Linked DNA regions of Arabidopsis thaliana. The protein of the gene in region 1 interacts with the protein of each later gene in a pairwise test. Each region holds a gene or a part of one and is shown on either strand. Other genes may lie near its edges. The genes, in order: AT4G15545 and DDL.

Region 1 (4,463 bases):
CGGAGACCATTCTTGTGGGTGATTACGGATAAGTCGTACAGAAATAAAGAAGATGAGCAAGAGAAGGAAGAAGATTGCATAAGTAGTTTCAGAGAAGAGCTCGATGAGATAGGAATGGTGGTTTCATGGTGTGATCAGTTTAGGGTTTTGAATCATAGATCGATAGGTTGTTTCGTGACGCATTGCGGGTGGAACTCTACGCTGGAGAGCTTGGTTTCAGGAGTTCCGGTGGTGGCGTTTCCGCAATGGAATGATCAGATGATGAACGCGAAGCTTTTAGAAGATTGTTGGAAAACAGGTGTAAGAGTGATGGAGAAGAAGGAAGAAGAAGGAGTTGTGGTGGTGGATAGTGAGGAGATACGGCGGTGCATTGAGGAAGTTATGGAAGACAAGGCGGAGGAGTTTAGAGGAAATGCCACGAGGTGGAAGGATTTAGCGGCGGAGGCTGTGAGAGAAGGAGGCTCTTCCTTTAATCATCTCAAAGCTTTTGTCGATGAGCACATGTGATTTTGGTATCAGAAATTATAACAACACTCCGCTTTTCTGTTCTTCCTTGCTCTGTTTCAATGTTTACACAATACAGTAGACAGTATTTTGGATGTTGATTGGTTAGTTTTGAAGATGATGAAATGTAATTTATTCAAGAAGAGAGAGATAGATAGATACACGAGAGAGCACAAATGATACAATCAAATTGTCAGTTTTACTTGGTCTTACTTGACAGCCAAGGAAACAAAAGAAATTGAATGTTGCAGACTGATGAATCCTGAGTTTCCGAGTATATAAGTTCTTTGTGTAACTGAAGAAGCCAAACTCTTAGTGAGCGTTGCGTGTGATCAAGCCCTCGAATATGACGTAGAGATCTCTGTTATCGCCTCCAAATATCTCTTCAGCTTTCCTAAGTGTTTCCTAGAAAACAAAGAAGAAAAGACATTGCAGGTCGAATCAGAATCCAAGTTTTGAATCGAAAGAGGGTAAAGATGATTGAGAGAGGATTCTCCTTACTTCTCTTGTTTGCTTGTGGGCGTTAAGATCCTTCACATTTCCAAGAAATGCACCAAATTGCTCGTAAGATAATCGGCTCCTGACTTGTCGAAAGAACTCTTTTCCATCAACCCGAGTTCTCGCTGAAAACGAAGATAACAAACAAACCGTAAATAAAGGTGTTGTTCCAAAACCCGCCACAAGAAAATCTTGGTTTGAACTTACCAGTTTGTGAACCAGGCTCTGAGATTGAAATAGAAGATCTAGTATCATCAAACATGCCTCTAGTGGTAGCGAACGATACAGAATGGCGTCGAGGAGAGATAGGTCTCGAAGTTGTTTTCGGTGTACCAGAAGCAGATAAGATTGGTGGAGAACCAGGAGGAGTAAGCCGTGGCGTAGTAGTTTGTGATACTAACGGAAGACTAGCTGATAAACTTGGTTTAGGAGCTACGATATAACACAAAACAAACTAACGCATTAAACACAAAAGGTTAGTGGCTTAAGCGTTGAGAGCAAGCAAGTACTATACCATCGTTTTCGTTGTCAGTTGCAGCTGGTTCAATGGCTTCAGAAGCTTGTTGAGATTGGATTGATGAATGTCTTGAAGGTTGAAATGGAGTATCATCATCTGAAAATGACAATAAACCACAATAAGAACCATCCATTTTGGTATATGAACACAAGTTTTCACTAAAATCTTCACAAGAACTATACCGTTTGGTGTCGGCTTAGCGATGATTTGCGTTGTTCCTGCCTGTTACAAAACCAAACACAATCAATTCAAGATCATGAATTTGTTACTTCAAAGCAAATTAGAGAACATGAAGAGTATAAGTTTCATACATTTTGGTCATCATCTTGAAGAGACATCATAAGCGTCTTCCTAAAACCCTCAAGCTGCACACAAATTTAGAAACAAAAACCCTAAAATCTCAGCTACTTCCAAATTTAGAAACAAAGAGACCTGACGTCAAATTTGAAACAGAGTCAAAATTACCTTTGAGACATCTCTCTGAAGTCTCTTGACAGTATTAGACAAAGAAGCATTTTCTCTTATCAGATTCTCCTGGAAGAAGATAATTAGATCAAAATCAGTAAAAATGAATCGGGTCAAAACAGAACAAATAAAGTCAAAAACCGGGTCGGGTCGGACCTTTTCACCATCAGCGAGAGAAAGCTTATGAAACGCATCGGAAAGAGAAGCCTCGAGAGACTCAACGTGAGACTGGAGTTCTTCAAATTCTTTTTCTTTCTCGGCGAGAAGTTCCCGGAGATCCGACGACTCTGATTCGAGAGCTGAGACACGTGTCGAGAGAGCAATGGATGTGATTTTGCGAGCTACATCTAGCTGCTCGAATGGATCGGACGGTAGAACTTGAAGAAGTTCATCGGGAAGATCGAAACTTCTCGAACCTGTAATTGCACTTGCTGATCCTTCTTCTTCTTCTTCTTCTATCTCTGACATTTCTCGTTTTCTGTGTTTTTTTTGTACCTTATGAGTTCATATACGGTTACGGTATAACCCGGTATTAGTATTAAACCGAAATTTGAGTCTAAACCAAACAATTTCTTGATTTTACATATCAATATTCATCGATTGAGACTGTATTATTACAAAAAGCTTCATTATGTCAACGCTAAATTCTATTGTGTTATGGGAAATACAATTCCGGTTTGGGATTGATACCGGTTCGGTTATGTAATGTTGATATGATTGAATTGATAGACGTGAATGTGTGTGGATAAAGAGAAATGTGGTCACGTATGGTTTGTCTTTTTGTGTGAAGTGATATGACATAATGTGTGGTATTGAATTGGGTAAGCCAAGTTTTTGTTCTATGAATGGATAGGACTATAATTCATTGGACACATAAGAGGAGACAAATACATTGTATCCAATTCCAAACGTCAAACTGGATACAAAACCGGATTCAAATTGCAAACAAACCGAAAATCCGGACATAGCTGGATTTTACCCCCTAGAAAAGTAAATAAATTCCTTATACTATAAGAAATATTATCATTTTCTCAACAAATAAGTATATCATTTTTCACATTTCAATGTATCATGTTAGATTTTTTTTGTACAAGTCATAAGATCTTACAACTTACAAGATAAATAGGGATCATCATCATCTAATGGGACCATAATTATGAATAAAATAAGAAAACGATTACACTTGTCTCCAACATATTTTCATGACAAGGTTTCAATCTTCTTCTCTGTCGTGTGAAGGCAATAAAAGTGATTGCTCAGAATCACTTACTGTTTTGGTTGAATCCTCTCTTGCTTTGCCCCAAATCACAGTGTAAAACCCAAAGCTCAATATCACTGATCCAATCACACTGCCCACAACACATAGATGCAAATTTATATGTACCAATCATGTAAATCTTATTACCTAACAACCGAAAATCTATATCGATTGTTAGTTGTTACTGTCTTCACATTTTATTATTCATTATGTATTTGAAGATGAAACTAAACATTTCAAACACCTAGAACTAAGTTATCATCACTATGTTTCTTTAAGAAAGAGACATTATAAAGTTGAAGGTAATAAGATGGTACCTCCCAAGATGAAGTGTGTCGCCGAGGAATATAGCAGCCATGGCGACTGCAATTGCGATAGACAGCGGCTTGAACAAGGATATGTAGACTGGACCCTTCACATGGAGACCCCATGTGTGGATAACTGAGCCCAATGATGTATCAAAGAGTCCCTGAAACAGAGTATTAGTTTCTGAGCTAAAGATTTGATTTCTCAACTTATGAGGTTTGATTACTTACCGAGTATATGACTGAAGCGAGGGAGAAACCTGGTTTAAGCTGCCAAGAATTCAAGTCTTTTTCTACAAGTAGACATACTGTCCCTGAGATTAGAGTTGCGCATAAGTTGTAGCAGAAGACTACGGCTATTTCTTCAGGGTATATCTCCATGATATGAGTCTAAAATCATGTGGAAGTGACAAATTTAGCTCAATCTTATGCGTCACCAACAAATCCAAAAATCTCTTTCATGAATCTGTTCCAAGTGTATGTACTACCTGAAGAATAAACCAGACTGAAAGAAGCAAAAACTGCAGACCGAGCAAAAGGCCTCCAATTATCCAACTTGACTCGAATGAAGTAAACGATGCAGCAACAAGAAGTTTTGGGCCTTTATACAGAACAATAACCAGAGCACCAGATATAGAAACTATTGTGCCAATGATTTTAGCCTGAGTTGCAGAGCTTCTTAACATTACTTGTTCCATCCTTTAAGTCACCCAAGGAAGCAGAACAAGTCATCAAAGTTAGAGTTACAAACAAACCTCATATCTATCCAACATTTCTCATACTTATACAACTACTCCATAATTCACAGACAAAAATATCATTTCATATTGACTGTTACTGTGTGAAAATCATATCTTTTGTATGGTTAAGATTGGAATCACCCGGTTTAGGAGAAAGTGGAACCTGAAGAAGATGG
Region 2 (6,189 bases), on another chromosome or scaffold:
ATCTCGCAAGAAGCTTCGAGGCAGTATCATGGCTTCCATTTCACCATGCATAGCTCTTCTGCGAGTTTATTCTCCTCTACCACCAAACTCAACAACACTTCTTCTACCCCACTTAGCCTCTCCTCTCGGTTTCTTGGAACTAGGGTTGTGAATCTCGGGATCAGACTTATCCGACTCGGACCCTCCAATAGGTCAGAGCCACTGCCTCGTTTAAGTTCGGAAAGAACGGCGTCGATGCTGAGAATGCTGGAATCTATGGCAGCCAGTCACGTGATGATTTTGACAGAGACGACGTCGAACAGGTTCGTGTTCACTTCAAGCTTCTAGAGTCAAATATGTCAATCTTTGTTTTGTTACAAGGGCGCTTATAAAAGCTTCCGTACGTGGTTGTGTCTGAGTTTGTGAATGAAGAAAACAGAGGAAATGTTAGATTTATTATTGTCGTTTCTGTGTTATTTGCAGTATTTTAACTACATGGGGATACTTGCGGTGGAAGGTACCTAAGATAAGATGCACCATGTCGACATCCTTTTAATGCTAGCAGTCTCGGAGGGAGACAAGCCTAAAATTGAAGAGCTTCTCAAACGCTGACTACACGGTTAAGGATGCTGACGGCAGAACCACTCTTGACTGAGCAAGCAGGGAGGAGATCCGTGACTTGATCCTTGAATCCCTCACTAAAGGCTTGACAAATAAGTAGTTTTCAATCGCAGAGTTAGCTTTATCTTACTAAGAAAGTGATGTCCGTTTTGGTAACTCTAGTTGAAATCTCAGTCGTCTCCATGTTTCTACGTTAAGTTAGGTCGAAACCCTCAGGGAGCGACAATTTTAAAGTAGAGATTGATCTTATACAGTTATACCAAAAGTTAACCTTTTTCTCTTACCAATCGTTCATCATCATTTATTATATAACAAGCAAGCAAAAGATTTCTAAATGATGTCTGAGATTATCACCAGCACGGTAGAAAGCATACATGAAGCAGCTCAAACATCTCTAAAAACCCTGAGAAACGCAACTATCTAATCTTGTGATTTACTCGTTTCTGCTTGACTCTGATTTCATTCACTCGGCAGAATTCTCGTGCAACAGTACGTACTCTCGGCTGCAACCAAAAGAACAAAACATGTCAAGAACAGAAGAAAGTAGATGTTAACTGCACAGCAAGCAAAGATTAATCACAGAGAATAGGCACGGGGTATGATTCATAATGGGAAACCAGAACTAGAATGTGTCTTCATTAGAATACCTGCTGTTGCCAAACTTTATGGTGTCTTTCTCAAAAAGCTCATAATATCTTTGTGGCTCAATGGGACTTTCCTGAAAAAGTAAAAGAAGTTCTAATCACAAACGTTTGAATTAACCATGATAAAGAAGCACATAAGAAGGAATGTAATTGAGCACTTACATTGATATAAGTTTTGTTGGTACTACCAAGATCCATTATGTAAGGCCTGGAAAGTGACATTAAGGGAAATTAAAATTTAGCTTAAAGCCAGAAGAGGTACAAATTTTAAGCAAAATGAAAGAGCAGATAGGTTTTACTTCACTTGCTTCCCCATCATACCATCTGGTTTCTCCTTTTCCATTTCCCTGAGAAAAGCACATTCACAGTGACATAAATATTAAACTAAAAACCTTATTCTCATTAAATCTATTGTCATAGATATTACTACTTAAAAGGAGAAATACATGTCAGAACCCTACCGGTACTGAATGACAGCATGCTGCTTGCTGCAAGATGGGTGATCCGTAGGAATGTCGGCAATCCTTCTTTCACGTCCAAAGAGGTAGCAGCTTTGGCGGTGAAGGCAGAGTGGCTCTGTTAGTCCAACACATTTCACATGCACAGAAACATACATCAAGAAAACTGATTCAGGGCATTCAGAATTATTAAGCAAACAGAAATGGGAAACAAAATGTAAAATCTTATATACAATGTTCAGGGGTTCAAAGTAAGAATGACACGGGAAGCCACAGTCACAAACATATCAGATCAAAGGAGCTATTTTTCCTCTAAGAGTCATTAACATTCATAATAAGATTCATTCTAAGAAAATTGACAAGTTCTAAGAAGTATCAAGCTATAGTTTGGCTACTATCGGTAATCACGCTGTTATCTGGACACTAAACCATCAATGACCACAGTTTTCAAGTTTACATGGCTAGAGTGCATCAAAATTTCTTGAGTATCTCTTTCATTGCCACTACATGCTTTACTGCATATTTTGTGGACAAAAAATTGACGTTCACCACAGTAAGATAGTTAAGTGAAATACATAGAAGACAAATGAACCACTACTTAGACAGATGGATAGAGATGTGGAAGACGTCAAAGACTCACCATTCAGTGGTTCACCATCCTTAAAAACATACAGTCTCCATCGTTCGCTGGGTTTTCTAGCCTCTGGGGGCTCATTGAAGAGGAGTGTGATACCTGCAAAGGATTCACTCAGTCAAGGAAGCTAAGCATGCCTATGGTGAAATTTAATGCGAGAAACCACCGTCTCCATTCCTAGGAGCAAAAGCGGATTGGCAGTCAAAAGATATCTGCTGATAGCAGATGCTTATATATTGAAGCTTCTAGTCTCATTAGATATTGACCAAAGAAAGCTTTTACCCAGTGACAGACACGTACGCATACAAAATTAAGTAAATATGACCTGACAACAAAGGCAGATGTTTCGCAGTTCAAACATGCAATGAAAACACTATGGCAAAAGTTTCTAGCACAAGGTAATGGTAACAGGTGATATTCTTAAATGAAATGGACGGATCAGAAGTTTCACCTCTGTATCTGTTAGTTTCTTCAGCAAGTTTCCCTGATAGCTCAAATGATGGTTCTTCCTACAAGATATATCAAAATTAGATTTGAAGCGTTAGCATTTATGCATGGATGAGCTAAGCGAGCTCAAAATGACATTGGAAATTGAAAATCAATAGGGCTTGATATAATACCTTTTTCTTCGCTGCCAGAGCCTCTTCAACTGCTCTCATTCTCGCGACTGAATCTTCCTCGACATTTCTGTTAACGAAAACCCATAACATGGTTAAAAGAAAGACTGAAAAATTGTAACGGCTAATCTAATAAGAAGAAAACTCACGGCTCCTCGCTGCCCCCTCTTGCATTAGACCCCTGAAAAGACAAAAGGCGATAAAAATGACTGAAGAAGTAACAAAAATCTGTGGCTCGCAGAAAATGATAATTTGCAGAAAGCAACCATAATCTATATAATGAGCTTTTACTAAAAAGAGAGAAACATGAGAAGTGATGTTACTGGACATGCTGAAGGGAAACAAAGAGACTATCTTTCTTAAGTCCTTTAGCAACAGAGTAAGCAAAAAATGGCTGGCTGCAGGTTCTAGTTATAGACTCACGAGATGGATAAGCTAGATTACAGGATTCCAATTATTTATTATGTGACGAAACAAGCAGCAGAGGCTAACCTTTTCTAGCATACATCAGAGCTAAACAATTTCAATCACATTTATCTTTTCAAGCAGAATACGAATATGCACAAGTAAAACCCAAAACAAAAAAAAAAACACTTCTGAGATTAAGAACATATCCAAGCTAAAGAAAGAAGCAGAAATACCTCATCATGCCTTGAGGCAATAGCTCTTTCAGGTGAACGCCTACTACTCCTGTGACTCCTATCTGACGGTGAAGTAGACCTCTCATGTCTTCCTCTAGAGTATCTCTCATCATCTGTTCTTGTCCTTCTCCTTTTTTCAGTATCCTCTCTCCCTGATCGTCTTCTCTTATCCCCAACTTCCCTATCTCTTTCTCCTTCTCCTTTTCTCTCCCTATCCCTATCTCTTCCTATATCTCTATCCCTTTCCCTACTGTTTCTCTTCTCCCTTTCTCTACCATCATCTTCTCTCTCTCTACTTCTCCCAATTTCCTTCTCTCCTCGAGCTCTTCTCAGTCTCTTCGTACGTGGTGAAGGAGACCTAGAACTAGGAGCCATTATTGGAGTCAGGGTCGTTTTCTCTCTTCTTTGCCTTTGGAAAGATCACAAATTGAAACCAGGGTCAGAAGGAAAAGGCATGTGAGCTCCAGATAACACAGTAAACCCTAATTCCCAAATGCATAGAAACTAGAAATGGAGCAAAAGCCCTAAACCAAAAAACGTAAGCTACAGATTTCAAATACTAAATTCAGAAGTTCCGGGCATAGTCTAGGGTTGCAAGAATCGTTAAGAGAAAAAATCGCTGCATAACGAGAAAGAAAAATTTTACCTGGTGGCCGGAACTGTGACTACTTCGGCGGAGAGAAGAGGAGAGAGTGAATAATAATAATCGCAGAGATAAAAAGAATCAGAGCCAAAACGAGAAGAATCATTTATTTGGCCTCTTTTGCAAATAAATGGAAACTGAGGGGTTCAATATCAAACAAATTGTAGACGGTATGGTAAAACTTCCATTAGTTGACACGTGTCATATCTTGTTTGGTAGAAAGGATATGTATAATTAGGGCAGAAGCCGCTTGTAACGTCGTACCCTTGTACTTCCTTCGAGATTTTTGTTTCTTCGTCCTAGTTTGCAACAAAGATTTTATAATTGATCATCAAACAAATCGGTGAGCCTGTAACAAATCGAGTGCACCAGCTTTACCACCAACTTTGATAGGATAGAAGACAAATACAAGATCATAGATATAGTTGAGGTGGATAGCTAAACGACATAAACCATCAGAAGTGACAGTGATCTTGTTCTGATTGTAACAGAGTGCACCAGGTTTACCACCAACTTTGATCCTCTCATGAAGGAACTTGTGGAGAGAAATTTTCAACTTCGAGGAACATATGTCCTGAAATCCCATCTGTAGTTCTCCTTACTACCGATTTGTAGTCGCAACTGTTGGCCTTGAAGCTTATGTGGAAGACAGCATTCATAGACTCGAGCTTTAGAGACGGGTCAGTATGAGTTTCTCGGGTGATGCTTTGGTTTGTCGGGTGATGGCTCATCGAATCCCAAATCATGTCTCCTTGTTTATTTGATGTATCTTTAGTTTCATGTATATACTAGTGTACGCCAATATTATAGACGATTAAAAACTAATTCTTGTTTACGTATGAACAAAACGATATGTACTTTGTCATTATTATATTTTTTGTCAAAGATTGAGAATATTTATTTTTTTCGCATCATAGACACACAAACAAATGTTGTCTAATGATCTACCAGCCGGCTTGTATATCTAATTCAAATATCGGTCATGCATCATGCACTTCATTAGTATCTTATGTTTTGCAAAATACTGGCTAGACTGTCACATATATCAGAATCGGTCACCGTCACCTTCTTCGTTATTGTCATACGGTTTCACTATGACAAAGTCCAAATTAGGTCAAATTTTAAGCGAACATACGTAGCCTCTTACGTCATAGATTGCTGATGAAAAAGAGGCAAATTATTATAACAACCATCAAAGATTCGGTACTAACTTTACAAATTCACACAATTCGTATCTCACAATCTAAAAGTGCAATATGTCGTACATGTTTTGTAAGCTAGACAATAGTAAAATAATTATCCTGCCGGACTATAAAGGTTCGAGAACGTGGACCGACTATATTTATATATCAATTAGCTATTTGTGGTGTTAGCCTAATGTTGCCTTCATCACGTTTTCTGTTTTTTTGTTGAAGGATTTTCAAATAGATGAATTGACTATCATCACCTTGTCACGTTATAAACCATATATATTATCGTTAAACACTTAGTAGCAGTTCCCCACGAATTACATGTCTCCATCATTGACAAATTTATATTTTTGTTTGTAAGAACACTTTTTCCTTCCTCAACAAATTCTTGTACTTAATACAGATATATACTTATAAATGTTACATCAAACGCTAGATAACGGAGAATATAAGCTAAAATGAAATTAATATATCTTGTTTCAGCTTCTATCGAAATTATTTTCATTAATGGACAATATAAAATTTGATCCTTATCTACTGTTTCTGTGAATTTGTGATTATCATCAGGCAAATGTATCATTAGGCAAATGTTTTTATCTAAATTAACACTTTTATTGGAAAACTACCAAAATACATTTAGGTTCACCCATCAAAAGTACTTTATGTTGTTATGTTATATATTGTGTGCTAACTAAAAAGATTACAATTTAGCAAATCTCAAGTTGATGTGTACATTTATAATCTCCACTACAACAAGAAGGT

The links.
Region 2: the proteins of AT4G15545 (region 1) and DDL interact in a two-hybrid assay, tested with the Arabidopsis thaliana proteins (one large-scale study listed by BioGRID).

Annotation. Positions count from the first base shown.
Region 1 is NC_003075.7:8,873,921-8,878,383, reverse strand, and holds AT4G15545 (PH-response transcription factor), read right to left. Parts: upstream 2,729-4,463; 5' UTR 2,453-2,728; coding exon 2,141-2,452; intron 2,054-2,140; coding exon 1,985-2,053; intron 1,885-1,984; coding exon 1,831-1,884; intron 1,742-1,830; coding exon 1,702-1,741; intron 1,616-1,701; coding exon 1,517-1,615; intron 1,435-1,516; coding exon 1,210-1,434; intron 1,128-1,209; coding exon 1,006-1,127; intron 910-1,005; coding exon 817-909; 3' UTR 585-816; downstream 1-584. Other genes in the region: IAGLU (indole-3-acetate beta-D-glucosyltransferase), read left to right, coding at 1-507; UMAMIT38 (EamA-like transporter family), read right to left, coding at 3,198-3,333, 3,560-3,711, 3,779-3,937, 4,036-4,246, 4,451-4,463.
Region 2 is NC_003074.8:7,173,632-7,179,820, forward strand, and holds DDL (SMAD/FHA domain-containing protein), read right to left. Parts: upstream 4,390-6,189; 5' UTR 4,241-4,389; intron 4,004-4,240; 5' UTR 3,970-4,003; coding exon 3,595-3,969; intron 3,135-3,594; coding exon 3,103-3,134; intron 3,024-3,102; coding exon 2,957-3,023; intron 2,846-2,956; coding exon 2,788-2,845; intron 2,436-2,787; coding exon 2,343-2,435; intron 1,821-2,342; coding exon 1,706-1,820; intron 1,592-1,705; coding exon 1,544-1,591; intron 1,453-1,543; coding exon 1,407-1,452; intron 1,319-1,406; coding exon 1,248-1,318; intron 1,104-1,247; coding exon 1,064-1,103; 3' UTR 805-1,063; downstream 1-804. Other genes in the region: AT3G20555 (uncharacterized protein), read right to left, coding at 4,569-4,760, 4,843-4,983. UniProt on the Arabidopsis thaliana protein: Involved in the microRNA (miRNA) and short interfering RNA (siRNA) biogenesis. May facilitate DCL1 to access or recognize primary miRNAs. Binds RNA non-specifically.